Linked DNA regions of Caenorhabditis elegans. The protein of the gene in region 1 interacts with the protein of each later gene in a pairwise test. Each region holds a gene or a part of one and is shown in the gene's direction. Other genes may lie near its edges.

Region 1 (7,984 bases):
GATGATGGTCCGATGGTGAAGAAACACGAGCCAGCTCCTCCAATTTTATGACGAGAACTAAGCGAAAGCACACAAATGGAAATACATGGTGTCGCGACAGCTGCCCCCAGTTCCCGCCGCCGTTTTAGCAGAAGAAGACCACCCAGGGCCCCTCAGTACGAAATTATCGGAGAATGCCAAGAATGGTGTCTCCAAGCTATACAACAGCACAAGGATATAGGGTCTGGCGGACAAAAAGGACAAGAAGGCCGAGAAGAAGGATGCACCAAAATTAGAATGGATAGGGTTAACTCGCAAGCGACGGCTTGCAGAGAAGGAGAAAATGCACTTTTTTATAGTGGTCATTGTTCTTTTCTGAGCTTCCCAGAGTGTTCTTTTTGTTTTTGTTTTTACGGAAATTGGCACAGAAGTTTAGCCGATGCAGCTATAAATCAGCAGCAATAAAGGAAGTTGTCGATTTTATTCTGAGTGACACCAGTGTAGGGAGGGCCTTTAGAAGAGATGCTTGAAAAGACGGATATTGACACCGGAAAACAGAGGACAAACGTTTTTGAGTGAGCAATAATGGGCTTTTTCTGAGTAAGTGGAAGTAGGAGTATAAGCAAACGATAGTAAAGAAAATTTTAAAAAAGAAGAAAAAAAGAAGAACATATAAAAGAATAGGAGATTAGGGGATGGACGTACATGTTGAACAAGTTCTCATAAGACATACATTGAAGTTTTCTATTTTGTTTCAGAAAACCACAAAAAATCTACTAAATGTTGTAGATCGTCTATAATTTATTGTACTTGAAATTATTTTCAATTATAAACATATGTAAGTAAAAATTTTTCAGATACTCGAAATGATAGATGTATATTTCAAAAGCACTTAAAGTTTAACATAAACTTAAATTATCACAATTTTAATTTCAGAGTTTATAAATTGGAATTTTCAGAGTTGGAAAGTTTTAGGTTCAAGTTTTTTTAAACACAAACTAATTCTGAATTTATGCGCAATACAGACAAAAAGTTGAAAAGAAAAAATAAAAATACACAAATCACTGAAATTAATCCTAACTCTACTTTACTTACTCCGCAGCTACATTTGAAGACATTCCGCACAAATTCAGGCGTGAAATCTATACATATCGGTTTACAGCAAAGCGCTTTACAAATAACAAATAAGAGAGCCAAATGCAGAAAGAAGAAAGCAACTGCTCCACTTTTCATCAAATTTCACTGCTGTTTCAATTTTCTTGAGAATAGAAACAACAAAAAAAAGGGACGGCTTAGAGCAAATGGACCAACACGAAAATGGCTTGAGGCTATTTAAAACAAGAAACATGAGACAAATTATGGTAATTATGTGAGAAAAAAGGAAGGAAAACAAAGAGAACAACATAAAACTACATTAGACTGAAAAATGCTCAACTGAGTAGAATAAACAGTTAACAAGAAGAAGGTAAATGTTATCAATCTGGAAATTACGATTTCAAACCAAACCTTGCATTCCAAGGTGTACACAGTCTTCGATAGAATGCAGAGCAATGTACAAATGGATTATCGGTCACTTTTCTTGCATCGAAAGTTGCTGAAATGGAAATCCAATGGGAGCACCAGCAATTTCCCGACTTCTGAAAAACTTCAAACATTTTAAACTCTTTTTAAACAAAACTTTACTGGGCGTATTTCAAGTTGCATAAATTGAAAAATGTACGTCCAAAATCATAGACTGAGCTACAACTTTTTAAATCTGTCCAATTACCAATTTTTGTTTGGTAATGTTCATTTCAAAATTTTAATTTTTAAATGAAAACGCTATGATTTGTTTTAATTTCTTGAGTGTAAGAAAAACAATATGTCGAAATTACCAAAACATTTTAAAAATTTGTGGTCATAATTCACAAGTGCCTATTCTTTTACAAAAAACCAAATATAAAATATTTCTTACAGCAGCATAGCTATTTGTAAATTGTTGCAACTTCTAACTTCTTTCAAAAAAAAAAACGTTCAAGTTCAATCAAAAACCCTATTTTTCATTGCCAGAAAACATTTCAAGAACTATTTCTAATATCTAGTTTTTCCTCCAGTTTTTTTTTCAGTTTGAAACCAACTTTCAATTTTAAATTGGTCGATGGAAGTCTGAAGATGGTAACTACTCACCCAAAAAACCTAAATCGTCACACCATTACAATCGTTTAGCAGACGCCTTCTTTCAGATGTTATCTCGAAAAAAAAGACTAGTACAGTACAAATGGGAAAAAGAGAATCTTCAGATTTTCAGGAGTGCGTTCTTTAACCTATTATCTAATTAAATTTCTGTGAAAGTTGATCAACATAAAAACCAAACAATCTGAGTTTGCTCAGGTTTTTTGCTTTTTCTGCTGTAATACAAATATTTATGCTGACACAACTCATGATGAATCACGAAAAAATTGTCTTTACATTGCAGATTAGGCACTTCCTTCAAAATAAACTGGCTAAAAACTACAATTCCAGTTTAAGATACGAATTTCAAAAAAAAAAGTGCAGAAAGTATTATAAACAAAATTCCATTCAGCAAAGAAAACGCTTGCATGTTGCGGCGTTGTTAAACAAAAATATTAGGATAAGTTCTTTACAAAGTATCATTTTTCAAATGCAGTCAAATTTGCCAGATCACCTAAATGTTTTCTCACTTGATTATATATTCCCTTGCCCAACACCACCGCATTGTATTGTTCTATTGAACCTTCTTAGATGATCAATTGTTCATCGGAACGTGTTGATCTTCAGTTGTACCAACTGTAATCCGTACCAACGTGCAAACGCTGATCCCATGTAAAAACAGTTACCTCGTGCTTATGACCGTTCTCTTTGTTTCTGTCACTCTTTTCTGCCGAAAACGTGGAGAGGGTGTTGCGTTCTTTTCGAAAGAGCTCGTCATGCTCCAGCACATAAACTGCTCTTGAGCTCATATTTATACAGTCGTGCTCTTTCACTCCACTCTCCTATATCTCTGCGTCTTATTATTGTCCTTCACCCTCTATCCGTCCATCATTATCGTCATCATCATCATCACCCATGTTTTCGTCTTCTATAATTGCCTGCTACCTATGTCCTCGGGGGGGGGGGGGGGGGGGTGAAGGAAAAAGGAAGCAAAGTCATTGGCATCTCAGCTGCCAAGTGGTAACAAAGTGAGGATAGGAATTCAATCCAGCATATTGAAAATGTCTAGTTTTCACCTCTTTTTGCATCTTTTTTTTCTTACCGTTCGCCCTCTTCCAATGCCATCGCCATGTATCGTGTTTCCGTGAGTAGTCTGCGTTTCACAATTACTCATCCGTCACAAAAAAGGCATTCGCGTTTCCACCTGGAAGCTCTTAGATACTTCAAACACTTTGCTTCCGAAAACCATTGACTTTCACTTCACTTTCCTTTCATTGAAACTATCAAAAGTGAATTACGAATAATAAGGAGAGTACCATTTGATTGTGCTGGATATCCTCCTAAGTCTTGATCTTGCTGAAAGTGATTCACAGATAGAAAGTGGCTTGAAATTTCTATGAATACTTCTAATATATGTTTAACGCTGTGCAACTTTGAGACTTTTCTTAGGAACCGTTAATTTTTATGTTTTCTAAATTTAATTTATTTTAAAACAATGTTTCCAGCAAACTCAAAACTATCAGTACTTTCAAAACTCCTCCCTTTTAAAGCTATTTTTCCAATTCTCTGTATTTTTTTTTAAAGTCCATGTATATTTGTTAGTTGAACAACCGCTCAAACAATATTGCCCCACACCTTTGAGTTTGCCCGCCAACACACACTTTCTCACTCGCCTAATCAGTTATTGACAGTGTACATTTAAAGACTTTTTGATCACGTTTCTCACTCTTTCCCAACTATTTTCTCTTGACTTCCCGTGTTCTGTTGCTCCATTCGTCTATTTCACTCGAATCGTCGATCTATTAAAACATGAGCTGTTTACCATGGTGAGTAGATTTTGCCTGTTAATGTTTCTGTTAATCAAAAATATTAATTGTGTTTTTACTTTCAATAAGTATCCGAATAATATTGAATTTTTAATCAAACACATACGTTTTTTTTCACAAGAAATCTATCATAAAAAAATGTTTCGAGTAAACCTACCTAAAAGCAAGGGTGAAGATTTTCGAAATTCCCCATATACATAGTTGACTGTCAGAATTTTCGGCAGTTTTCAACCTCAGTCATATTTCAAACAGTTTAACATTTAACCTTGACATAATTGTTCATTTTTAAAGTTCCGTCAAATACCTATCAATTCAAGACACATCAAGCTTGAAAAGCGAATATTTTACTACAAAATACGTTTATACGTTTTGAAATCTCCAGAAATGTTCAGACATTGCTGTTTTAAAATCTTTTCGCCAATTGACAAAACTTCGATTGCCGCATTTGTAATTGTCAGAAATATCTCACCTCGAAAATTACCTATGTCTATTAAAAAAAACAACCAAGTAAGATGCTACTCAAGGCAAGTTACGAATGTTTTAAAAGCCCTCAGAATTTGCAATTTTTTGCTTGCAAGCTTAAGTTTACAGCAGTACTAGTTTGTAATTTTTCTTCCTATAGACTCTTCCTATGATGTTTTTAACTTTTTTTTTCGACTTGTTCATCAACCTGACTACATTTTAATTGATGCAATTCCATATCAATCATGAAAAAACAAGTATTAACGGATCATCTTGTTGCTTAGGATAATATCAACAGGCAAGAAAGCAAACTAACATAATAAACCATCGAATCTGTGCACCAGCTGGCAGTTCACCTCTCATCACGGTGTAGCTATTTCGCCTACGTCTCGTACTCTCTAACCATTTCCACCACCCATTTCTCCACCATCACCATTCAACATTTTCAAACCATGCCCCGCTACTTGGCGCCTATTGATTTATGATACTCGTTTATGTTCCATTTTGAAATTTCTCATTTTCATTTGAAAACATGTTAGATATGTGACTCACTAGCAATGCCTGTTTGAGCCGCACGTGTTTTGCAAATTAGGCAAACGAACCACTAAGAATACATAAGAAGCGAATATCCTTTACATGTCCACTTGGCATCCCTTCGCTCAATCAACTTCTATTCATTTCTTGTTTCTAAGTCCTTCCGAACGGAGTAGTACTCACAATTAAGGTAATCACAACCCTGTTATCCACTATTGTCGTATGTGTTTCTATTTTGAGATTTTTCCCACAGAAATGAATAGCTTTACAAAGTTGCTAATTAGAAGTAAGTAATTTGAGTCGTGTTTTATGCGATTAACATCATATTTCGAGAAGTACGCGAAAATTTATATATTTGTTTAGTTTGAAACTACACGTAATTTTTGTTTTTGAAAGTTGTGTTTCGTTCTTGTTTAAAAAAAGTGTTATATCTATAAAAATTAGATTTTAGTTTTTAATTTTTAAATTGAAAATTTTTAAGACTCCCTATTCCTTGTAAAAATGTTAAGGAAAAAAGCGTTTTTTTTCACAAATTCATATTTATACATTTTTTTGAGAATTAGTCGTTGTCAGAATTTTAAATTATAGTTTTTTTCTTTTTTTTTTTAAATATCTGTTGTAGATTTTTTGCATTTTATTTCCCTAAGAACTTAATCCTCCTTACACCGTACATAGCCAAAAACCAGCAAGTCCTAATTAATCATTCTCAAAGCTGAGAAATTAAAATTTTAAAAACTATATTTCGCCAGTAATTTTTATGAAAAAAGCCATGAATGCATGTTTGAAACGCTTTGAGTTTAAAACGGGAACATTTTTTGATAAAACATTGCTTCAAAATCCGTAGATCTTCAAAAACCACTTTTTTTGTTGGAAATTTTTACTTTTAGGAATTCTCGTTAACCCTGAACAGTGTTTTCTTTTATTGTTCACAGTCATCATGTAGACTGTTCGAATTTAAAGTTAGCTCAATGTTTTAAATGACACTAATAATAACTTGTTTTGTTTACAAAAAAATGTTATATTTACAAGAAAAAAAACAAACAACATTGACTACGTTCCAACTGCCCAACTCCTGATAATGATGTCACTGTCACCAGAATTCCCATAATAATTCATATCAGTACTCTCTTCCTGGCGGGGCACTTTTATCTTCCCTGGAACCTTGAAAACCGGTTAATTTCATTTAAATCATTCATTTCGGTTGGATTAGATGAAGCTTCCTCTTTTTCTTCTGCTTAAGGAGTGAAACAGAATCCCATACGACTTTTTCATCGTTTCTTCATCACATCCACCTTCTGTTTCACTGTTAGTCTCACCTCACCTTCTCCACTTCTCACACCTTTTTACGATGTTCTATTAGAACATTGTGTATGCGATTGAGTGAGTGTGTATCTGTATATGTATGACCTATGCAAATTCTTTATCCGTTCGCAAAATCTGCGTTTATTAATACAGCGTGCACTTTTTCAAGAAAGTAACCGAAGAAATTGACGAAAAAGGAGAGATCGGGCTGCCTATTTCGAGGACAACACATTCCTTCCATATTCTTCCGTAAAATGTTCAGACACTGGTCCCCTTCTAACTAAAACTAGGTCTTCATATCTATCAAATAAGTTGCGTTAGAATGGAATCTGATTCTGGTCGCTTTAACTTGTACATATTTTCCGATAGTGTTGGTCTTTCAAGTGTATGCCATTAGTAACTTGTTAGGCAATCTTCTAGGACATTGGTCAAAAAGTCCGTTGTTCAATTACGTTAAGCAACGGATGAATACATGTTTTTGTTTTTATTCGGTTTTCACTCACTCTTTTCACCAATCAGCTGTCAAGGTTTCATATTCCTGTATGGAATTTTGAATTCAAATTTTGATTCCCTGTTTTTCAAAATCAAAACAAATACTTTTTTTCAAATTTCGCCATAGGGTGCTATACTTAATTTTGTGTTCTAGAATTGTATTCTTGTAAAAATAACAAATATTTCCCGTATGTCAAAACTGTCTCACTACATTATATTTTTGTGTCAGTTTTGGGAATTATTTTAGGTCAAAAATTCAAAAAAAAAGAAAACGACAAATGTAGTGCACATTCAGATGTTTTCTACATATAAATAAACAATTTAAAAACAATTTCTGTTTTTCCCGAAGTTCAATTTTCCCTACCTACAGTTTTAGTTATATTTCAGTCTTTGGTTGTATTGTTTTTTTTCTTCCAAAGTCGTTCCATATGCATTTCTCAGCCACATGTCCCACCAACACAAACACCGGTGTTGGCTCCTGTTTCTGTTAAAGCCTTCGTGTAATCCTTCTCATACAGTCACCTCAGCGAGCGGACTCTGCTTTGCTTGTAAGCCGGCAGCGCCCAAATGTATCTGTCTCTAGTTCCACCTATTCTGTTTTGGTTGCTCTTCCTCTCTCGTTGCGGGCTCATGGATTGCCTCAAAAATTCGTTTCTCATCCTCCGATTCTTGCATTTGGCCGACGTGTTTCTGGCTGTCCCATTGTTTTTAAAACTGTATGTCGTCTTCCATGTCCTGCAAACAAATCGTGTTTACAGTCTCGCAAGATGCTCGTCCTTCCCACCGCTGCCGCTCTGGCTTGCCCGAATGAACTTTTCCTCTTTTTTTGCATGTGCGGTCTGTTCGTTTGTTCAACTCATTGTCATCTCTATTTCCTTTTTCTGTTTTTGGAAGCTCAATTCGCGCAAAAGTGCTCTTTCCGCTAAAAAAACACAACCGCTGGTCAGCGAGAAGATTGAACAATTAACACAATGTGCGAAGTCCTCTGAGAAATCGTCTTGTTTTCCTTTTTTCCCTAAAAAAATTTCCGTGTTCATTTCATTTCCATTTTCATTTCCAGACTTTGTCACAAATCTTTTTATATATTCATACGTTTTAATTGGCGTGTATTATGTGTAGTCAAAAATAGTGATTGGTAAATTGAATGACGTAGTTTCTATTGAAATTAAAGAATGTTCGAAGTAATACAGTAGTCCCCAAGATTGAAAATGAACCATATCTAGTCAAAATAAAATAAA
Region 2 (7,658 bases), on another chromosome or scaffold:
TTTGTGTTAGCACACGGATTTCGAGCTTACATTCATCAAAACCTCTTTTAGTTCGTAACAAGCCAAGCTTTGCTCCAGATTAGTGACCATCGTACTAATTGAAAGAAGAACTTCTCCAAACTGGATCAAATAGTTCTTAGTTTTCGCTTTTTCTTCCTTTTTCGCAGGATAGCCTGGCGGTGCACCAAGCTGAAACGAGCAGAAAATAACTTTTTAAAAATCATATTATTCGAAACAGTTAGTGAAAACGCAGTAAGATAAAATTTTTCTAGACGTGGCAATTTTACAAATGATACTAACCACAGAAATTGCTCGCTGGAAAAACTTGTCAATTTCTTCTGTCTTCGATTTTATGTTGATAATATGCTGATTAACTTTTCTGCGGTTGTTTCTCTCTTGAGCAATAATTTGCATTGAAAGATTCACCATTCCCATTTTCATGACTTGGCTCAAATCATTGCGAAGCTCACATAACATCTGTAAGATACACTGCTAACTTAGCAATTGTTAACAAACGAATACCTCTTCATGATCGGCGCTTGCCTCTTTTCTGATATCAATAACACTGTCCTTTTCAGCATTTTGAATTTTCAAGTAAAGCTCAAATAGATCTTCAGCATGCTGTTGAGCAATAATTCTGGAATTTCAATAATAATAGAAATTCATAATACGACCATACTGTGTAACATATTTGCACTCACTCATTGTTGTCTATTCTGGTTTCAACATCATCAAAAATTGATGTCTCCATTGCGACTGTTCGTTTGTCAAATTATTGTAGGGATAATAAACTTACAGAAATCAAATATTCAATAAAAAACGACATGAACTTGAAAAGTGGTTCTTTCTTCCTCATATTTATTTTGTTTGTCTCATGGAGAAAGATAACGTACACTTTCAACTACAACTAGCAAGTGTTGTTGGTGTTGTTTGAAACAAAGGGAGGGAATGGCTGGGGAGTGATGAAATCCAGCATTTTGGACACTCGGCAATTCAGGTAACTGTTGGTTTCTGAAAGTTTTGGCAATTGCTCAAACCTTTGAAGACTTTACTTGAAATTAATTACTGAAAAACTCTGAATAGTTTGATTGTGAGAGACATTTTTTTTAATGTGAAATTTTTGCCACAAATTATTAAAATCTATATGCTGTATTTCCTCGAATAGTATTACAACTTATTTGTTAGCTTTGACAACACGTATCTTAGTTTTTGTTTGTTAGAAAAACTGTCAATTAGCAAAATATTTCAAACTCTTTTTCTACCATTTCTTTATTGGTTGATTTAGAAATTATTGGAAATCAAGTAAGGAGATTGCCGGTTGCCGAAAACTGTTGAAAGCTGTGCACCGCTAGGTTTTGCATTCGATAAGTTATCGTTGAACCCAGTGAAACCATGATGGTATTTTGGGAGAATTCAGAAAACGTTTTAATGGAGTTTTTTAGATCGTAATCATGAACAGAGGTTACAACTTATTGTTTTAAAGTGCTTTGCTGAATAAATTGAGTCAATTTAAACGGAAAACAAATCTAAAGAATATTGCACATTATACGTTGGCATGACAAGGACGCTACATTTGCAAAAAAACAGTTGAATGACTTTCACGGATCGGTTACAGACAGTCATTTCTGGATAATTCAATTCAAGTGATTAATCGCAATGAATGTTGTATGTTTTTGCCACTGGAACGTTGACATATCAATGACGCCGGCTGAACGTTTCTGTAATTTTCAGATTTTATCCAAATATATAATATGCACCATAATAGTAATATTTATTTGTAAAGTGTTATTCTACCAAATTCAATCAAAATTAATCAATCGTCGATCTGTATTCCTCCTACAAATATTGGAGTATTAGTTCCTGGAAATTCAGTGTATTTATTCCACGCTATTTTAATATTGTTTCCCAATCCGACAACATTCATCACAACAAATGGACGATTCCATTATATATTAACGGCCCAAACAGAAGTACCAACATCATCTCACCTACTGCTAATAATTTTTGAGCAGCTCACAAAAAAACAAGAGCTGAATGAAATTCGATTCATTCTAAATGCGCACTAGCTCATATTTTATGTATCAATTCCCCTGGCCCGACCTCATACATTTTTTATCGGCCGATCGTCGTCGGTTCATCTCAATTGCACACATACACTAACCAAACCTACAGCTTCACACACATACACTAACCAAACCTACACAAACAACACAATTTAAATTATTTTTTCTTACTTTTTTTATAGAACGAGTTTGACTTTTTAGTGCTCCTCTTGAAAAACTTTCTCTTTGTTTTATAATAATTTGTGGAACAATCAGGTAGGTGGCGTCGGTAAGGAATTATTTTGGTTCAGGATGATGAAAACAATTTGATAAGAGCATTCAAAGTATTCAATACATTCAATGTTTACCTGAAGAGTCAAGTGATAGTCATAAAGATGAACAAGTTTTTGGTGATAAGAGAATAGAGTATCAACGACAGATTCAATACATTTTGAAAGTGGAAATGATTTGAACAGAACAATAAAAATTCTAGAATTTATGAATACATATCGCGTGCGGAATAATTTCATATGTTAATTCGTTCAATTCTTTTTTATTTCAATCGCATTATTTTCAAATCAAAAATGTTTGAATGCTCACACATCCAGCAATTGTGGAATACAAGTTAATTAAATTCTCAGTTGTGCCTATGAATGAAGTTGAAATTGTTGACTAACTTAAAATTTTTCTCACTTTTTTCATACATCAGGATACAAAAGTTTTTAGCAAACTTTTCACAAGACACAAGACAATATCGTAACCTCAACAAAATTTCAATCAGCTTATCGCTGAGCATGTTCACTTTTTTCTGTCTCTTTTTTAATCACCCAGAAAACTTTTGACGCGGAAAGAATATTAATGTCATCGTTTGAGAACTGAAAGGTTAACTTGATAACAACATGGTATTTCGTTTTAAACCGTTGTGTACTGGCTTTTCGAAAAAATCTGTAAAATTTAAATAATTTCTGCACGAAAAATGATTTTTTTTTGTTTCATCTTCAACAAAGTAAAAGGAAATATTTTGAACAGCTTGAAATCCCTCACTTATATGTCTGGAGGAAAAACTTTTTTATTTTAAGACTTTTAAATTATGTCTCATGTTTTCAATTTATGATATATTATTTAAATTTACACCATGGCGCAGAAATAAGAGGTAACTCTCCAGTTTGAAAATTTTCACTTTTTACTGCAAACAAACACAGTTTCTGTCACATTGTGTTGCTCGGTTCGATTCTGTTCCATTTACACTCTGCACCAGAGTTTCGCTGTGATAAGAACATGATTTTGATGTTGACAGCAACGCCAATTTTTCTTATCACTAGTCAAGATTTTTAGAGCCCTGAGGCTATCTACAATCAGTTGACAACGGTCTACAACAACTGATATAGTCTTATCAGTTTCCAAATCAGTCAATCATACCCAGAGACTGCCTTAAATTTTTGTATATACCAGCATTTTATGGACACAATCATAAGGTTTTCCGGTTCCACCTCATTTTGAATCTAGTCATACTTATTTTTTCTTTCATATTTTGTGCGCAATTTTTCACATTCTTAAATTTCAACATTTTTAATTTCAGTGGTTCAAAAATGGATTTAGCCACTCGCAAAAGGCTACTTTCCGCCAGCGTGGATGTGCCCGCTATGAAAATTTCAGCTCCACCAACTCTAGGTTTGTTGTTTGAGTTGATTTTCGAAAATTGAATTTCTAATTTCAGAGCCACCTGCCAGTTTTATGGATGTCCTTTTTCTAAATCTATTAAACGCGTTGAATTGCACGGAACCTTCGCAACGCATTTCGTTCCTTGATGAAATGATCTCTAGACTTCAGCGATTGAAAGTAAGTTCCGGAAATATTTTATTTCTTATCACATGATATGACATTATCAAACAATTTCTTGCATTAAAATATTCTTTCGCACGGAGTGACACCTTGCTAGAATTTCACGGAATTCACAAAAAGTGTCCGTGAAACTGTTTGATTATGATCGATTTTCAGTGATTATGAATATGATCAAAGCACACACAGATATCATGCTCTGCACAATGTTTCGAAAGAGCCACGTTGCATATGCAACATTGCAGTGTCAGCGGTTTTCTTATCAGTTTCTGGCGTAGTGCCAAGATTTGGAAACATGTTGAAAAAGTACTGAATACAGTATAACGTAGTTAACTGCCGAAACTTGTAATCTCGATAAAATATTCAAAAAACTAACTGCTGGATACAATATTTTAGATTTTTTCTTGGAGATGACTTTATTGAGATATTTTCAGCAATACCATCAACGAATCGAGTCACTCATAAGCAAACCAGTAGTTTCTGAAAAGACATCAACAGGATCACCATGTCCAACTGAACATAAACCATTGGACCACCAACAAATAAAACGATGCATTCAAGAAGATCAGCAAATGCTTCTGAACATGTCAAAGCTGATAACTTTAAATCAAGCTCACAGTCATCCAACTTCAATAGCACCTTCTTCATTTCAAGTTCCAGTTATTCCTCCACCTCCAACTCTGGTTACGGGGCCTTTAAAAGTTGCACCGGCTTCACTTGCTCCAGTACCAATGGAAATTCAATCACAAGAGCAACCGATAAAAAAGTCTCCAGCTCCTACTCCGTCTTTAGACGCATCAAATAAACCGGTCGCTGCACTTGCATCGACTCCACAGCAAAAAGAATCCACGAAAAAAACAGAAAAGGAACAAAAAGAAAAAGCTGCTCCAAGTGTAACTGCACAGCCCCGTATTCCACATGTTCCAAATACAATTCCATCGAAACAGTTTGCACAATCAGCGGAAGTAATGATGAATGATTTACAAGACAAACAGAGGAAACTTCTTTCCTACATATCATCCGCTCACAACGGAAGTGTCACTGATGAAGTACTTCATGATTACTTACGTCATCCATTTGTCTTATTGAAGGAGAAAGGTGTTATCCGCCAACAACCTAATCCATTTTTCCATCTGATGAGTACTCCACAAGTACTAGCAGGTACTCCATCAGTCATCCCTACACCAGCAATGATGTCACCAAATCCTGCAATGGTTCAAAAATCATCGAAGCCATCTACTCCGATTCCAGCCCCACCAGTGCTCGTACCACAAGTGGAGCTCCCTGCCAAAACAAGTTCTGTCTCACAGAAAACAACGGTATCCCCACCCGTGGAGAAAGTAAGATCAACTTCTACAATATAGAAAATAACTATAATTTTTAAGGTTACACCGCCTCCTCAGCATCCTCCCCAACTCTCACTTCAAGTTCCACTCAATGGACCTCAAATGGATCCTACCAAACAATTTCTAGTTCCAATGACTCGTGCTTGCAATCAATGGTCCGTAGTTTCAATGGCTTTACCCCTGAGACTTGTATGTCGTTGCGGTCAGATGCCATGCAGATGTCAATGATAACTAGCCTTTAATTCTGAGGATGTATATTTTATTTTCTAATCAAACATCATTTTTTCCAAAATTGTGATCTCGTTTTTATTATTGTTGATATTGCTGTAAAAGACTGTGAGATAAAGTTATCTGTGATAGTTAATAATAATTTTTCCAGGAGATATTATTTTAGTGAAACTGTCTGCCCGTCTTCTCTTTTTTTTTGCCCTGCGTGGACTGCCAATTAAGCAAAAAGGGTTAAAGGTTAAATGAAGTTAAACACAATGGTGAATTAGTGGTGAATTTTGATTACTTCTGTCAAGTTTTCTGTAAACATGTTGTGTTTTGTCGTGAAATGAAACTGATTACTGCTTTATTTCCAGAAAAACCCTAACGCCCAATTTTCCAAAAAATCCTAATTTTCTCAAAACAATGATTTGTTATTTTGTATTGTTTTTCCACGTATTCAATAAAGCGTAATGAATGGAATTTAATTGTCACTGCAGTTTGACAATTCAACTAACGTTGTCTAACGCTCAAGATTTTATGTTATTTTTCTATAAAATCGTATTTCTGGTGGCCCTAGAGCCACTTTTCCATAAAATCGTATTTCTGGTGGCCCTAGAGCCACTTTTCCAGAAGTAGTAGAAGGTTGAATTCGATAGTTTCCGGTTTTCTTTTAACTATGTTTCAAACTGTTCAACAGAAAAGCAAGAGAAAATCAAGTAAAAGTTCTCGAAACCTTTCAATATCTCTATTGACACGTACATCTTTTTTCTGAAAAAAAACGAACTTCAAAAAGCTCAATTCATAATTTAAATTTTCACGTATCTAGGTCAATATTAGTTTGACTCTCCCATTTAGCTACTCAAAGCACAGATAAATTCCAAAATATTTTAGATAAATAACATTGAGTTCGGCGATGCTTGAAGACCAACTAGGTACAACTTTTTTTTTGCTATACTTTTATACCTCCCACCTTCACAGAGAATTCGATTTTCATGTATCAGCAGAATGAACTGATCTTTCTGTGAAAAATTTCAGCCGTCTCGCATAACTTCCTAAAAAATAATAAATTTCATTGAAAAAGATAATTGTGAGAACCAACGTTAGACCGAAATATGCATTTTTCAGATCATTATTTCTCATTTCTATAATTTTCAGTGGCAGGCTATAGTCGATCATGATAGAATTCCGGTATATTGCAGCAACGATTATGGTGCTGGTAAGTATTGCAAAACGAGAAAACGTTCTTTATCTATTATGACACACGAATTAAAATTTCTCCAAGAAGTTCTCAATCAGAGGTGGGCGGATATTTTTTCGGATATTTTCTAATAATGAATTTATCAATAAGTATTGATGCAATTATTCTGGAAGAAATGTATCCGAACAAAAGAGTAACTATTAAGCAACATTTTAATATGATAAAACCTAGAAAAATTCTACAAGTTTTCTGTATAAACGATATGCAAGTCCATTATCCGATATCCGTAATATCCGTAATATCCGATATCCGATGTTGCTCGGCTAATAAGTTTTAAGGTCTCGGTAAGGAAAACTTGTAGAATTTTTCTAGGTTTTATCATATTAAAATGTTGCTTAATAGTTACTCTTTGGTTCGGATACATTTCTTCCAGAATAACTGCATCAATACTTATTGATAAATTCATTATTAGAAAATATCCGAAAAAATATTCGCCCACCTCTGTTCTCAATAGATAAGATTACTTAAAAACTTATTTTTATGAATAACTTTTCAGTTAAGCCTTGGAGACATAACTCTCAATGGAATGGTGATTTCCAGAATGTTTCGCGAAAGAGAAGGATTCAATAAGATATGTGTGAATAAATCTGTTGCAAATGTGCACATCGCTACGGCATTCCTCATATGGGCTGCTCCCTGTGCTTACCTGTGAGTGTTCGCAATATATGTACTTTCGAACAAACTTTCACAATTTAGAAATGATTATTATCTCCCACAACAATTTAACGTATTCTTCGGCCAAATAGTTGGATGGGCCCCATATTTAATGTCAGGCCCATTTACTCAAATAAGCCTAGCAGTTAACAGAGCAGTTGCAATTTCATTTCCTTATTCGTTTAATAAACAACACAGAGTTCCCTGGACAAATATACTATTAGGTGGATTATGGTGTATTGCAATTTTGATGTCACTTCCCGCAATGATAGGTATGCGGCCCAAAACTTTTTAAAAATTGAGTTAGAA
Region 3 (8,065 bases), on another chromosome or scaffold:
GCTCAAAAAGTCAGTTTTCACCCGATTTTCTCGGTTTTTCTCTCAAAATTCTCCAATTTTTCCCAAAATTTCACTAAAAAGTCCCAAAAAAACCGCCCAATTTCCAGGATCACTTTCGTTATATCGAACGAAGCGCCGAACTGGAAAAACAGGATCTTTCTGCCGGTCCAAGCTTGGATTTAGCATTTAAAGAGGGACAAACCATCTCAATTAACATTGGAGTACGAATTTCGGACTGAAAATCTCTGAAAATTACCCTAATTTTCTTGCAGAAAAAGGATAAAAGTGCAGTTTCCCGCCCTCGTCCGGCTCCTGGAGCATCTACTGGAGGCCTAGTGCCACTGCTTCCACCGCCGCCAGGTGCCGGCTCAATGGTACGGAGCTCGAGCTGAAAATCTGGAAAAAATGGCTGAAAAATGTGAAAAATTGCCTGAAAAACTGAATTTTCCGTGATTTTTCGGGTGAAAATCTGGGAAAAATGGCTTAAAAACTAAATTTTCAGTGGTTTTTCGTCTAAAAAAGTAGATTTTCATTTGAAAAATGTCTGAATACCTTAATTTTTAGCTGAAAAACTTGAAAATTTGCTCAAAAAAATCGGGAAAAATCGATTTTCTGGATAAAATTAAGCTAATTTCGTTATTTTTTAGCTGAAAATCTGGAAAATTGCCTGAAAAATCTGAAAAATTGCCGGAAAAACTGAATTTTCCGTGATTTTTGGGTGAAAATCTGGGAAAAATGGCTTAAAAATCGTTTTTTTTTTGTTTTCAGTGGAAAAATCTGAAAAATTGCATGTTTTTCAGCTAAAAAACGTCTAAATTCGTTAATTTTTGACTGAAAATCTCGAAAATTCTGAAAAAATTGAGTATTTTGCTCAAAAAATCGGGAAAAATCGATTTTCTGGATAAAATTAAGCTAATTTCGTTGATTTTTAGCTGAAAATCTGGAAAAAATGGCTTAAAAATCAGTTTTCAGTGGAAAAATCTGGAAAAAAAATGCTAAAAACTGAATTTTCAGTGGTTTTTCGGCTAAAAAAATTTATTTTTAGTCAAAAAACATCTGAAGATCTTTAAAATTCTGTAAAAATTGAGTATTTTGCTCCAAAAAATTGAAAAAAATCGATTTTCTGGATAAAAATTAAGCTAATTTCGTTAATTTTTAGCCGAAAATCTTAAAAATTTCGCTGAATTTTGGATTTTTTGGTCGATTTCTGTGGAAAAATCGCCGAAATTTGCTAATTTTTCACTAAAAATCTTCGAAAATTTGATTTTTTGGCTGAAAAAGCCTAAAATAGTGTTGAAATTGTATAAAATCTGAGGAAATTTCCCAATTATTCGCTGGAAATTGACATTTTTTCACCACTTTTCTTATCTTTCTCATCACAAGATTATTATTGACTTTTTTGTGGAAAAAATGTGATTTTCAGCTGAATTTTGGCCGGAAAAATGCTAAAAAAACCGATATTTTTGACTGAAACTTCAAAAAATATCGAATTTTCAGCATTTTTCCGGCGAAATTTTTGATTTTTTCGAGTATTTTGGCTGAAAAATTGAAATTTACAGCCTAAATTATCGGAAATTAACCTTTAAAATCGCGGAAAATCCAATTTTTAGCTTAAAAATTGCTGAAAAGTGCAATTTTTTCCACTTTTTGCTCAGAGTTTCCATGGAAATTGGTGACGAATTTCGTTCGGAATCTCTGCGCCTCTTTGGTTTTTTTTTCTCTGAAAATCCTCCGTCTGCTTCTCTAATTCTCCACTTTTTCCCACATTTTTGTGTGTTTTTCGCGCGATTTTTAGACAATTTTCCTCCAAAAAAAGGGTTTTTTTCCGAGCTTTTTGAAAAAAATTGTATAAAAAATGCAAAAAAAACCATTTTTTCAGTTTAAATCTCAAAAATTCGTGAAATTTGCCATTTTCAAACCGCAAAATTTGAATTTTTCGATTTAAAAAAGTCGAAATTTTACCAAAAAATATTTGATTTTCGGCAGATTTTTTGCATAAAATTTCAGAAAAGTAGCTGAAAATAGTGAAAATTCGAATTTTTCACTCAAAAAATTGCTCAAAAGTTCGTGAAATATGCCTTTTTCTCCAAAAAAAAATTGCCGAAAAACCGTGCTTTTTCGCGAATTTTCAGCGATTTTTGGCTGAAAAATCGCATTTTTGGCCGAAAAAATTGGGTTTTTAGACATTTTCTCACCAAAAACTATGCTTTTTTCGAGTTTTTTGAAAAAAATTGCGATTTTCTGAGAAAAAAATCTTAAAAAACCCCATTTTTTCGGTTTAAATCTGAAAAATTCGTGAAATTTGCCATTTTGAAGCCACAAAATTCGAATTTTTCGATTTTAAAACTCGAAAATTCATGATTTTAGTCGAAATTTTGCCAAAAAACTATGATTTTCGTCAGAATTTCGCATAAAATTTCCGAAAAGTAGCTAAAAACGCTGAAATTCGAATTTTTAAGCCCAAATTTGCAATTTTCAGTCAAAAAATGCGATAAAAGTACGGATTTTTGCTCGAAATCAACTTTTTTTCTTCAAAAATTCGAGTTTTCCACTCAAAAATCATAGAAATTCCTCTAAAATTTGTATATTTTCGACTAAAATTTCCCCAATTTTCAGATCAGAAACTCTCGTCCTTCCACCACCACCACTACGGCTTCATCTTCTCTGTCTTCTGCTTTTGCTGCTCCACCGCCGGCTCCGAGCTCTTCGACGAGCACAACGGCGACGTCTGGCAATTTATTGTCAGTTTTTTGCTCGTTTTTGAGTGAAAAATTGATGGAATTCACAAAAAATGGCCAAAGAATCCTCAAAATTGGCCGAAAATTCTGAAAAATGACCTAAAAATCACCGAAAAACGGCCAAAAATTATCTGAAAATCGCCGAAAATCTCAAATTTTGAGGAAATTCCCGCTAAAAATTAATAAAAATCACCGAAAAAAGGCCAAAAATTACCTAATAAAGGCCGAAAATCGCCTAAAAAGGCCAAAAATTCTGAAAAATGGCCAAATTTCAATTTTTCACACACAAAAAATCCCTGAATTTTCTATTTTTACTCGAAAAACTGTGGATTTACGGGGGTAAAAATTCAGTTTTTAGTGCTATTTCACAAGAAAAACACAGCATTTTCGACAAAAACTCCGATTTTTAAGCCAAAAATTTGAGGTTTTTAGTTTTTTACGTGAAAACCTGAACTTTTTGCCAAAAAAACACTTTTTTTTAGACTAAAAATCAATTTTCGATCAAAAATCACTAATTTTGCCTGAAAAAATATAGATTTTTCCACTTTTTCACTGAAAAAAAACTGGATTTTCACTAGAAAATCAAGTTGTTTTTAGACCAAAAATTTTATTTTTCCGCTGAAAATTATCGTTTTTCAGTCAATTTTCAGCTAAAAATCCCTGAAATTCTGGATTTTCAGCCAAAAAACTCGAAATTTTCCAAAAAAACCCCGTTTAAAAATGAGTTTAGACTGAAAATTCCGATTTTTGAGCCAAAAATTTGATTTTTAATCGAAAAAAATTGGATTTTCAACCAAAAAATCAGTTTTTCAGTGATTTTTAGAGTAAAAATCACTGATTTTAACACAAAATTCCAGTTTTTCGTGATTTTTCACTAGAAAATCCCGATTTTTCCCCAAAAAATCCATTTTTCCGACTAAAAATCCCCAAATTTTCAGAGATTTCTAAGCGATGACGTCATCTTTCTTCTCCGTACAACTGTCTGCGTCTCTTCACTTCTCTCTCTCCACCTTTTCTCTACGCTTTCCATCGCTAATTTATTGAAATTTCCTGTCCCATTTCATTTTTTTTTCGAATTTTTTTTTAATTGTTAATAGCTTCTGTGATTTTTCCCTGCTTTTTTCTGATTTTTTCCGTCAAAAATGGACAATTTTCAGTCATTTTTATTGATTTTTTGCTATTTTTTCCCCGGAAACGGTTATTTTTCACCGCATTTTATCTATTTTTCGCCAATTTTCGGTTAATTTCATCAAATTTTCCGTCCAGATCACTCTCTTGGGGCGCCAAAAACTTGGTGAAACCGAATCGATTATCTGGTGAAAATGCTGAATTTGGTGAGTTTTTTTTTTAAACGAAAAATCATTAAAAATTATAAATTCTCATTTAAAAAAATTGAAAATTTAATTTTGTGAAAAAAATGTGGAAAACTTCAATTTTTAAGCCAAAAATTTCCAGTTTTTTCGGATTTTTTTTAGCAGAATTTTTAAAAAATCGATGAAAAATTAGGATTTTTGGCATTTTTGCCGCGAAAAAATCCACATTTTCAGAAAAAAAAATCCAAAAAAATGAAATATTTACTGGAGGAAAATTATAAACTTTCAGAAAAAAACAATATTTATTTGTTAAAAAAAACAATTTTTCTGAAAAAAATCAACATTTTCGAAAAAAAAATCTAAAAATCAAAATTGATCTGTTTTTCCTCAAAAAAATTCAAAACTATCAGAAAAAATTAATATTTTCTGTTTAAAAAACCAAATATCCCCCAATTTTTCAATTTTTGGCTAATTTTTAGGGTTTTTTACTCTAAAAAAATTCAAAATTTTCTTTAAAAAATCAATGTTTTATTTTAAAAACCAAAATTCCAATTTTCCCCGAAAAATTCAGGAAAAAACCCTCAAAATGGCCCAATTTTTGGTTAATTCTTCGGGTTTTTACCATAAAAAAATTCAAAATTTTCTGAAAAAATCAATAATTTCCGTTAAAAAATCGAACTTTTCAAAAAAACTAATAAAAAAAAAACATAATTAAAAATTTTCAAAAAATTCAAGCTTATCGAAAAAAACCAAAATTTTCCAATTTTTCCACTAATTTTTCAATTTTTGGCTAATTTTTTGGTGTTTTTACCCTTAAAAAATTCGATTTTTCCACTATAAAATTGAAAAACCCCCTAAATTTTTCAATTTTTCGCTAATTTTTTGGGTTTTTACCCTAAAAATTCTCAATTTTTTTAACCAAGCAATCAATTTTTCTGAAAAAAAGTGAATTTTTAATTTTTTCTTATAGTTTTGAATTTTTTGGAGGAAAAACAGATCAATTTTGATTTTTAGATTTTTTTTTCGAAAATGGTGAATTTTTCAGAAAAATTGTTTTTTTAACAAATAAATATTGTTTTTTTCTGAAAGTTTATAATTTTCCTCCAGTAAATATTTCATTTTTTTGGATTTTTTTTTCTGAAAAATTGGAATTTTTCGCGGCAAAAATGCCAAAAATCCTAATTTTTCATCGATTTTTCAGATAATTTTTTTTAAATTCTGCTAAAATACGACAGTTTTCGGAGCAAAAATCCGGAAAAATTGGAAATTTAACAAAATTAAAATTTCAATTTTTCGCTAATTTTTTGGGTTATTACCCTAAAAAATTCAATTTTTTAATCAAAAAATTTTAATTTTATAAAATTCGAAATTTTCTGAAAAAATCAATAAATTCTGTTCAAAATTGAAGCTTTCCAAAAAAAAAAATTTCTGGAAAAAACCAAAAATTTCAAATTTTCTCCAAAAAAACCCCAATTTTCTGGCAAAAAAACCAAAAATTTTCAATTTTTCGCTACTTTGTTTGGGTTTTTTACTCTAAAAAAAATTAAAAATTCACTGAAAAAATTCAAAATTTTCTTAAAAAATCAATGTTTTATTTTAAAAACCAAAATTCCAATTTTCCCCGAAAATTTCAGGAAAAACCCACAAAATTGCCCAATTTTAGGCTAATTTTTGGGTTTTTACCATAAAAAATTCAACATTTTCTGAAAAAATCAATAATTTCTGTTAAAAAATCAAACTTTTCAAAAAAAACCAAAATTTTCAATTTTTTCCACTATAAAATTGAAAACCCCCGAAAATTTTCAATTTCTTGGTTAATTTTTTGGGTGTTTTTACTCTAAAAATTCAATTTTTTAATCAAAAAATTTTAATTTTCTGAAAAAATTCGAAATTTTCTGAAAAAATCAAAAAATTCTGTTAAAAAATTCAAGCTTTACAAAAAAAAAATTTTCTGGAAAAAACCAAAAATTTCAAATTTTCTCCAAAAAAACCCCAAGTTTCTGACAAAAAAACCAAAAATTTTCAATTTTTGGCTAATTTTTCGGTGTTTTTACCCTTAAAAAATTCGATTTTTCCACTATAAAATTGAAAAACCCCCTAAATTTTTCAATTTTTCGCTAATTTTTTGGGTTTTTACCCTAAAAATTCTCAATTTTTTTAACCAAGCAATCAATTTTTCTGAAAAAAAGTGAATTTTTAATTTTTTCTTATAGTTTTGAATTTTTTGGAGGAAAAACAGATCAATTTTGATTTTTAGATTTTTTTTTCGAAAATGTTGAATTTTTCAGAAAAATTGTTTTTTTAACAAATAAATATTGATTTTTTCTGAAAGTTTATAATTTTCCTCCAGTAAATATTTCATTTTTTTGGATTTTTTTTTCTGAAAAATTGGAATTTTTCGCGGCAAAAATGCCAAAAATCCTAATTTTTTCATCGATTTTTCAGAGAATTTTTTAATAATTCTGCTAAAATACGACAGTTTTCGGAGCAAAAATTCGGAAAAACTGGAAATTTTTGGCTTAAAAAATGATTTTTTTCACTTTTTTTTTCACAAAATTAAATTTTCAATTTTTCGCTAATTTTTTGGGTTTTCACCCTAAAAAATTCGAAATTTTAAAAAAATTTTCTGGAAAAAACCAAAAATTTCAAATTTTCTCCAAAAAACCCCCAATTTTCTGGCAAAAAAACCAAAAATTTTCAATTTTTCCACTAATTTTTCAATTTTTGGCTAATTTTTTGGTGTTTTTACTCTTAAAAAATTCGATTTTTCCACTATAAAAATGGAAAAACCCCTAAATTTTTCAATTTTTCGCTACTTTTTTTGGGTGTTTTTACCCTAATAATTCCCAATTATTTGCAGGGTCCCGGCGTATCCGTACCAGCAGCTGGCACAGCATCCAGCTCAGCCGTTCGACGCCTCCAAAAAGACTACGCAAAACTGATGCAAGATCCTGTTGATGGAATTAAAGCACTTCCAAATGAGGATAATATTCTTGAATGGCATTATTGCCTTCGTGGATCACCGGATACACCATTCTATGGTGGTTATTATTGGGGAAAAGTGATTTTTAAGGAGAATTTCCCGTGGAGTCCACCTGCTATCACGATGATTACACCGAATGGAAGGTAGTAATGACGGACGGACACGAAAATTGCGAAAAAAAAATCGTCAAAAAATACGGTTTTCAATGATTTTTATGTAACTTTTGAGCAAAAATTAATTTTTTTGACGATTTTCCTCATTTTTTCAGAAAAAATTGATTTTAATCGCATTTTTGGCCATTTTCCAACTTTTTTGTAAATAAAAATCATTGGAAATCGCCAAAAATACGATTAAAATTAAATTTTCCCGAAAAATTGTAAGAAAATCATTGAAATTGGTCGAAAAATGCGATTAAAATCGATTTTTGCTGAAAATGTTCAAAAATGTCATTTTTGTTTTTAAAAATTGGATTATATCAGCCAAAAACGGCACAAAATCCTTTTTTTTTCCTCGAAAAATGCAAAAAATCTAATTTTTTTTTTTGAAAAATTCGGAAAAATCAGTAAAGATACGATTAAAACCAAGTTTTTCTGAAAAATATCGAAAAAATCGAGAAAAATGGTAGAAAATGCGGTAAAAAACCAAATTTTGCTGGAAAATAGCGTATAAAATGGTCAAAAATACGATTAAATTTACATATTCGCTGGAAAGTTGCACAAAAAAGTTGGAAAATGGCCAAAAAATGCGATTAAAATCAATTTTTTGCTGAAAAAATGAGGAAAATCGTCAAAAAAATTAATTTTTGCTCAAAAGTTACATAAAAATCATTGAAAATCGTCAAAAAAAATCGATTTTTACCCGGAAATTCATTTTTTCTCGATGAATTTCTGAGAAAATTGCAATTTTCTTTGGTTTTTCAGATTTTGATTCAAAAAAGTTCACATTCCATTCTCTCAGAATTTACAGAATTTTAACCAATAAATTGTAAAAAATTCAGTTTTGCATTTGAAAAGTTTAACCTACAAATGGCC
Region 4 (7,171 bases), on another chromosome or scaffold:
ACCAACCGATCATCCAAAAATGTTCAGAATTATAAGAAAAAAAGAAACAAAAAATGAAGAAAAGATGGGAAGTTATGATAAAAATAGGAGTGTACTCTGATCGTAAACCAACATTGTAAATGTGACGTTGACCTTATTGGAATGACATTTTCATCGATTTTTTATAGGTTTTGTGCTATGTTAGAGTTTGTAACTGTGTTGATAGACAAACAATGTAAAATAAACCGTTCCGTTCTTACGTTTTTTTTCCGTTTCTTATTTCTTATCCAGACAACGAGAGAATTCAGTTTTTTTTGAAAATAGAATATTAAAAGCTAGAAGTTAAAAAAAGTGAATGAGAAATTCTAAATTCTGTAAACAACTTTAAAGATTTTCAGAGAATTCATTATTTTTAGAAATTTTAGAAATGACATGCTCAAGGGATTGCGAAGCTACACAAACTTGGATATGAACAACTAATTTTCAATTGCTCCCCTTTTTTGATAAGTTAAAATTTAATTCTCTGACTTCTTCTTGCAATTATAATCGCCGTTTCTACAATTTCTCATAAAACGTGTCATTATTGACCTCGTAACTCTGAAAACGTGCGCTCGTAACGGCACTCTACAAATTCATAAAACTTGTCCAAAAATCGTGAAATTGTTATCAGCTGATGGTCTTCTCAATTCACCCCATCAAAGAACTCACGGAGCCCGTAAATGCGGAATAAAGCGGGTTAGAAGGCAGATTAACATTCCAACAAGGTTTTTTTAAGGACTTTCTGAACTATATATTTTGAGCGGTAGTGAAGTTTTTCGTTGTCCCCCTTTATGAGTTCCGCAATTTATTATGAAATAAATTATGAACAATGTTTTCAAAGCAGGCGTAGGTTGCTTCAAAGACGGGCAGGTATTGGTGCCTATCGTAATTTTTTAAATTTGGTTGTTCACGTTAAGTGATTTTTTGAATGGGTCTCGCGACTAACTCATTTGCAGTGGTTGCGAGAAGTTTCGAATTTTACATACTTCTCCGTTTGATATAGAAAATAAAGTGCATCAAATTGCATATCCTAAAATGTACAGAGAAGAACAGGTTAAAAAAAAACATTTTGTCCGAACATACATGCTAGCATTGAATACGAGATACGAGAGAACTTAAGTTTTTGTTGCATTACTGAAAAAAATTGTATTGGAAATTTTCAATTAAACCGTATTCTTTGCTTCTTGTTTTATCAGTGAAATCATTAGTACATACATTTAAACTTAGCACAAATTTTTAGTCTTATCAAATGTGACTAGAAAATTTTGAGCAAAAAATTAAAATTTTTCATTGTTCAAATGAAAATTTCAACGAACACAATTGTCACAAAGAAAATCAGTTGTCCACCACAACCAGAACAATACAAAACCCTGTTCAAATAGATCATCAAGTGATCGATTGTCCATTGTAATGGATTTTCAGAATGTTACAGAATGGCTACTGTTTGTGCATCTGCTCACCTGCGGATTGTCGGATTTTCACATACAAGACCGTGCAAATCAGGAGACGCAGGGAAACAAAAGGTGTACTATATAAACGAGGTGAAAATCGAGATAAATCATCAAATCATTTCGTTTGATACACAATGAATAAGTCTATTTTCCTAGTTGGAGCATTTTTGGCTGTCGCTTTCGGGCAAACGTGTAGCCCAGACAGAATTACTGCACGTATGTTTTACTTGAAAATTAATAATCATTTGCCCCTACAGTAATACGAGCAATACAGTAATTGGGACTTAATTAGCATACTGGCTTTCCACTTTGAGATTATTCGTTGAGACATCTCTCGCTTCAAGACCCTTCACAAAGAAACTATCGCACAGGCTTCAAATTTGAACACTTCCAAAAGTTTTTCTGGGAAATTTACTCTCAAATTAAAGCCAGCAGAAGGGCGCAATTTTAGATTTTTAGATTTTTGAAACTTTTGACCAATCAATGACGTTGACCACGCCTTAATGTCATTGGTCGAGTAACACTTTTTTCGCGCTCAAATTCGATTCTTTAATCCAAACATTTTTTCAGCATGCGATGTTGGTTTGCCTTGTGAAACTGGATCTACTTGTGATCTTACTCTTTTAAGTTGCTGTCTCAATGCGGATCTCAGTAAGTCTCTGGAATCAGTAAATTTTAAATTTCCCTTTTCAGTCACCACTGTGGTTCCATCTAACGTTGTCACCGACGCTTCGGGATCCACTGTGACTGTTGCCACGACTATCCGTAGTGGATCCACTGTCACTTCCCGCACTTCATCTGGAACAGGATGCGTTGATCGTGTCAATTCAGCTACAGGAACTTCTGATTGTGCTAATAGAAGAGCTCTCTGCAACGATGCCAACTACTTTGACGTCATGACTCAACAATGTCCAAAGACTTGCGGAAGATGCTCATCATTCTCTAGCACACCTACAACTGGTACATGCACTGACTTGAAGAACCCAAAGACGGGAACTTCGGACTGCGCAAGCCTGCGTTCTTTCTGTAATGATTCCAACTACATTGATCTGATGAGAACTCAATGCCCAAGAACTTGTGGATTCTGTGGAAGTTCCGGTTCATCTTCTACCACTAGATCCAGCGCAACTGTTTCTTCCGGAAGTAAGTGGGAAAAATTATAAAAGTGTTAAAACTGATTTTAACGGTTGGAGCTTGATTTAGTATTAAATTTAAGCAAAATTTAGTTGTACAAATATTTTCATATTAATTGCAACATGGCCAAATATCACAAATAAAAAGTCCGAGTTTTTAATGACTCAAAACTACCAGCCAACCTTTCCCCAACTTTAGACGAAACTAACTACTTGTTTATTTAAAAAAAGAGAAAACAACTGTCCAAAAAAATCTGAAACATCCGATTCTAAGGTAAAACAATCTACTGTATTATCTAAAAAATGTACGGCCATAGATTTTCAACAATAACACAAGCATTCGTTACTTTCTAAAACCAATCTTGAAAATCTTCCAGCATGTGTCGACAGAGTCAACCCAGCCACCGGAAGATCTGATTGTGCATCCAACATTGGTCTTTGCAACAACTCAGCCTACCAATCCGTCATGCGTGCTCAATGTCCAAGAACCTGCGGATTCTGTACATCCGGATAATTTGTTTCGCCATCACGATTAGTAATAATTGTGTAATAATGTGTCCAATTCATTTTAATTTATAATAAAACGCTGCGAGTCGGGAAGAAATGTGTTCAAATAGTATCCGAAACGCCGGTTGGTTGTACCAATATAAAAACAATGCGCGCATTGTTCTGCGAAAATTTTGTTATTTTTGAAACAGAGCTGAAATGTTTGAACAGCCTTTAGCTCGTGGATAGCCACTGTAAAATATGGAATATTGCGATAAAAACAGATAGACAAGAAATAAAACTTTAAAAAACTTTTACTTGAAAAACTTACAAAGAAACGTTACTTACAGACTCTTTTTGAAAATCCAATTTTTCTACTAGATTATCTCAAAAAGTTAAGCTCAACTCCTACAATCTAAAGTTGTATTCTGGGGTTTTTGCAAGCTTGTAAAACTGTCATAATAGCCGTTATTTGCATAATTATTTTGACGGCATTTTCAGCAAAAAATCGATCACTGCAGACCCGAGATACACATTCTACGTCAAAATATATGTAATTTAAATTTAATAATTTCAGCACTCTTTTGTTGAAACATTTGCCACAAGCGATACTTTTTAGCTATTTCGTCATAAACTTCCATCACGAACGGTATCTAAACTTCTTGATCACATTATTTCAATTTCAAAGACTTATAGCACAATGGTCAACGTTAATTGTTTGAACAGATGGACAGTATCTCACAATATAAAAGCAACTGCTGCAGAACTATAACCATCATTCTATCATGTTCCGTCAATTCATTATTTCATTTGCCATATTCTCGGTTGCATTTGCTTGTGAAGCTTCTGAATCTGAAGGACGTAAGTAACAACTGTAATCGCATTTAGAATAAATACTTTATTTCAGCGTGTGACGGTGGCATTCTTGTGTGCCAGACACAGGTCTGTGACGTGGCAGCTGGTCAATGCTGTCCTATTACCAGTAAGTGAAACAGATTCTTTCAACAGCGACCTTTGAAATTCTAGCTGCTGCCGCTGTTACTTCAACCACTGCTGCTGTTGTGACCGATTCCGATGGATCTACAGTAACCACAACTGCATCATCAGTTACAGTAACTTCTACCTCCACGACAACGTGTGCTGATCGTGTCAATCCATCTACCGGAGTCTCTGATTGTTCAGCTCTTGCCTACCTTTGCAACGACTCGACCTACTACACAGTCATGACCCAGCAGTGCCCAAGAACATGCGGTCGCTGTAATTCTACTTCAACAAGCTCTACTAGCTGTGTTGATCGTGTTAATCCATCCACCGGAGTTTCCGATTGTCCAGCTCGTGCTGCTTTGTGCAACGACTCCAACTACTACACACTCATGACCACTCAATGCCCAAGAACTTGCGGAAGATGCTCCACTTCTTCTTCGACTACTTCATCGTCCAGTAAGTTCGCTGAAAACTGGAACGTGATTCTTTAATTAGAGTTAGATTTCTTGAAACAGAGGACAACAATTTAAATTTCCAGGCACCACATGTGCCGATCGTTCTAACCCATCCACCGGGAGATCTGATTGTCCGGCTCGTGCCGCACTTTGTAATAACGCAGCTTATTACAATCTTATGACAGTCCAGTGTCCGGTAACTTGTGGAAGATGCTCCACAAATAGTACTTCTAGCTATTCCAGTAGGTGGCAGTTGCCTCTTGCTTCGCTGATCAGCTGTAGCTTTTTTTACCTGCTTCTGTCTAATATGCTTGCTTTGTTTGCCTTAGCTTTTCTTATATTTTCGTTTGCACTAACTGAGGAAATTTCAGCCACCTGTGCTGATCGTGTCAATCCAACAACTGGAGTTTCCGATTGCCCAGCTCGTGCTTCTCTTTGCAACAACTCAGTCTACTATGACATCATGACCACCCAATGCCCAAGAACTTGTGGAAGATGCACATCAAGCTCAACTATCTCTGCCACGTCATCAGCTTCTACTACTGTTTCATGTAAGTTTTATTTCTGAAGAATTATAGCTGATTGATTCTACTGTTTGTGATACGACAACTAAGATACTTAAACCTCTTCAGCCACTTGTGTCGACCAAGTCAACGCCGCTACAGGAACTTCCGATTGTCCAAATCGTCGTGCTTTTTGTACCAACTCCGCTTACATTTCCCTTATGCGTACCCAATGTCCACTTACCTGCGGATTCTGTACTGCTGGATAATTTTTGTGTTTGTGGAAATAATTTATCTCTAATTTATGCACCGTCTGGTTTTTGTGATTTATGATTCTAAAGTAAATAAAATAATTTAAATAATTTAGATTTTGAGAAAGTTCGATTTCAAAACAAAACATCTCAATGTTTTAAATGTAATAAAATATTTATTTTTTCATTTTCAAACATTCTGAAAACATATCCAATTTTTATTTTGTTTCATTGAATTAATAATTAAAACTTTTTTGGACAACTTTAAATGAATCTGGCGTCAATAATTTTTCGTTGAGTTTCACCTTATAATGATTGTTTTTTTATACAAAAGTCTGACTTACATACTAGAACTTTAAAAAAAATTAAATTTATAATTTAAAAATTTAAAAACTTATTAAAAATGAAATGAAGCACCCATTGGAGTACCTATACGTCTATTTTGCTCCCACAAATTAATTACTTTATCAGCGCCTGTAAAAATTATTGATGTTCGGAAAATACAGGAAATTAAAAAAAAAACTATGAAAACGAAAAGCGTTCTAATTAAAAAGAAACTCTGATGATGTTTTGAAAAAAATTATCGCTGACTGACTCAATCCTGTGTTACACTCACTTAAGTTAGTCTGTATTGTACTTTTACATTATCGCAAAAAATAATTTGCCTTTGCCGTGCTCTCAAAAGTTTTTCAAAAGGGAAGGTGGTTTTAAAGATCATCGGCTTTAAATAAAATAAAGAAAGGATCGAATTCTAAAGAAGATTTTACAAGTCAAAACTATAATTGGGCTGATCTATCCGAACAACTTGGTGAAAAATTTTTGCAACGATCTCCTAAAACTGTATACATTTTTTGATGGAAGTGTTGTCCTTCCAACAATAACCAATTTCAATTTGCTTCTAAGGATTAACCGAACAACATGAAATTAAAATACTTTCTCAGAAGATAACTGTCTTTCCCAGAATGGTAAACTTTAAAATTATATTTTTATTGGATGGAACTGCGTGAAAGTAAGGATCGATTTCATAAAAATCTTTCAATCATAACTGTTCCTTTGTTAATTACGAGGGGCATTTTACTAAATTTGAAGCAATTGTTATGCAGAGAGGATTGAAATGTTTGCTTTCAATCCAGGTACTTTTCCATGTAAAACAATGGTCATTCTGTTTCCAAAAATGTAACAGAGACAACTGTTTGCACAGATGGACAGTATCTCACAATATAAAAGCAACTGCTGCAGAACTATAACCATCATTCTATCATGTTCCGTCAATTCATTATTTCATTTGCCATTTTCTCGGTTGCATTTGCTTGCGAAGCTTCTGAATCTGAAGGACGTAAGTAAAGACTGCCATTACTTTTAGAGTTTGAGTTGTTTCATTTCAGCATGTGACGGTGGCATTCTTGTGTGCCAGACACAGGTCTGTGATGTGGCAGCTGGTCAATGTTGTCCTGTAACCAGTAAGTCAACAAGGTTCTTTCAACCGTGACCTATGATTTTTAGCCGTTCCCCTTGTGACTTCAACCACTGCTGCTGTGGTAACAGATTCTGATGGATCTACAGTAACCACAACTGCTTCAGCAGTTACAGTAACCTCAACCTCTACAACTTCGTGTGCTGATCGCCTCAATCCATCTACCGGGGTCTCTGATTGTCCAGCACTTGCCTATCTTTGCAACGACACCACCTACTACACAGTCATGACTCAACAATGTCCAAGAACATGCGGTCGTTGTAACTCAACTACCACAAGCTCCACTAGCTGTGCCGATCTTGTAAACCCATCCACCGGAGTTTCTGATTGTACTGCACGAGCTTCTTTGTGCAATGATTCAGTCTACTATGCCGTCATGACTCAACAATGCCCAAGAACTTGTGGAAGATGTAACT

The links.
Region 2: the proteins of sdpn-1 (region 1) and B0507.3 interact in a two-hybrid assay, tested with the Caenorhabditis elegans proteins (one large-scale study listed by BioGRID).
Region 3: the proteins of sdpn-1 (region 1) and ubc-15 interact in a two-hybrid assay, tested with the Caenorhabditis elegans proteins (one large-scale study listed by BioGRID).
Region 4: the proteins of sdpn-1 (region 1) and phat-1 interact in a two-hybrid assay, tested with the Caenorhabditis elegans proteins (one large-scale study listed by BioGRID).

The regions. Positions count from the first base shown.
Region 1 is NC_003284.9:7,994,051-8,002,034, reverse strand, and holds the start of sdpn-1 (SH3 domain-containing protein), read left to right. Parts: upstream 1-3,939; coding exon 3,940-3,956; intron 3,957-7,425; exon of another isoform or gene 7,426-7,674; intron 7,675-7,984.
Region 2 is NC_003283.11:8,765,288-8,772,945, forward strand, and holds B0507.3 (Mediator of RNA polymerase II transcription subunit 15), read left to right. Parts: upstream 1-3,621; 5' UTR 3,622-3,631; coding exon 3,632-3,713; intron 3,714-3,759; coding exon 3,760-3,881; intron 3,882-4,315; coding exon 4,316-5,221; intron 5,222-5,266; coding exon 5,267-5,455; 3' UTR 5,456-5,586; downstream 5,587-7,658. Other genes in the region: B0507.9 (Protein containing ALS2cr12 (ALS2CR12) signature), read right to left, coding at 31-189, 301-477, 523-637, 702-751; srx-115 (7TM GPCR serpentine receptor class x (Srx) domain-containing protein), read left to right, coding at 6,612-6,653, 7,192-7,343, 7,392-7,621.
Region 3 is NC_003280.10:2,909,543-2,917,607, reverse strand, and holds the start of ubc-15 (Ubiquitin-conjugating enzyme E2 J2), read left to right. Parts: upstream 1-4,004; 5' UTR 4,005-4,060; coding exon 4,061-4,072; intron 4,073-6,911; coding exon 6,912-7,177; intron 7,178-8,065. Other genes in the region: ncap-1 (NECAP PHear domain-containing protein), read left to right, coding at 108-221, 273-374, 2,617-2,741, 3,677-3,686.
Region 4 is NC_003279.8:5,042,423-5,049,593, reverse strand, and holds phat-1 (ShKT domain-containing protein), read left to right. Parts: upstream 1-3,873; coding exon 3,874-3,949; intron 3,950-3,995; coding exon 3,996-4,070; intron 4,071-4,114; coding exon 4,115-4,528; intron 4,529-4,710; exon of another isoform or gene 4,711-4,854; intron 4,855-4,898; coding exon 4,899-5,078; intron 5,079-5,159; coding exon 5,160-5,299; 3' UTR 5,300-5,396; downstream 5,397-7,171. Other genes in the region: phat-2 (ShKT domain-containing protein), read left to right, coding at 1,604-1,685, 2,040-2,120, 2,163-2,612, 2,980-3,116; C46H11.7 (ShKT domain-containing protein), read left to right, coding at 6,542-6,617, 6,667-6,741, 6,785-7,171.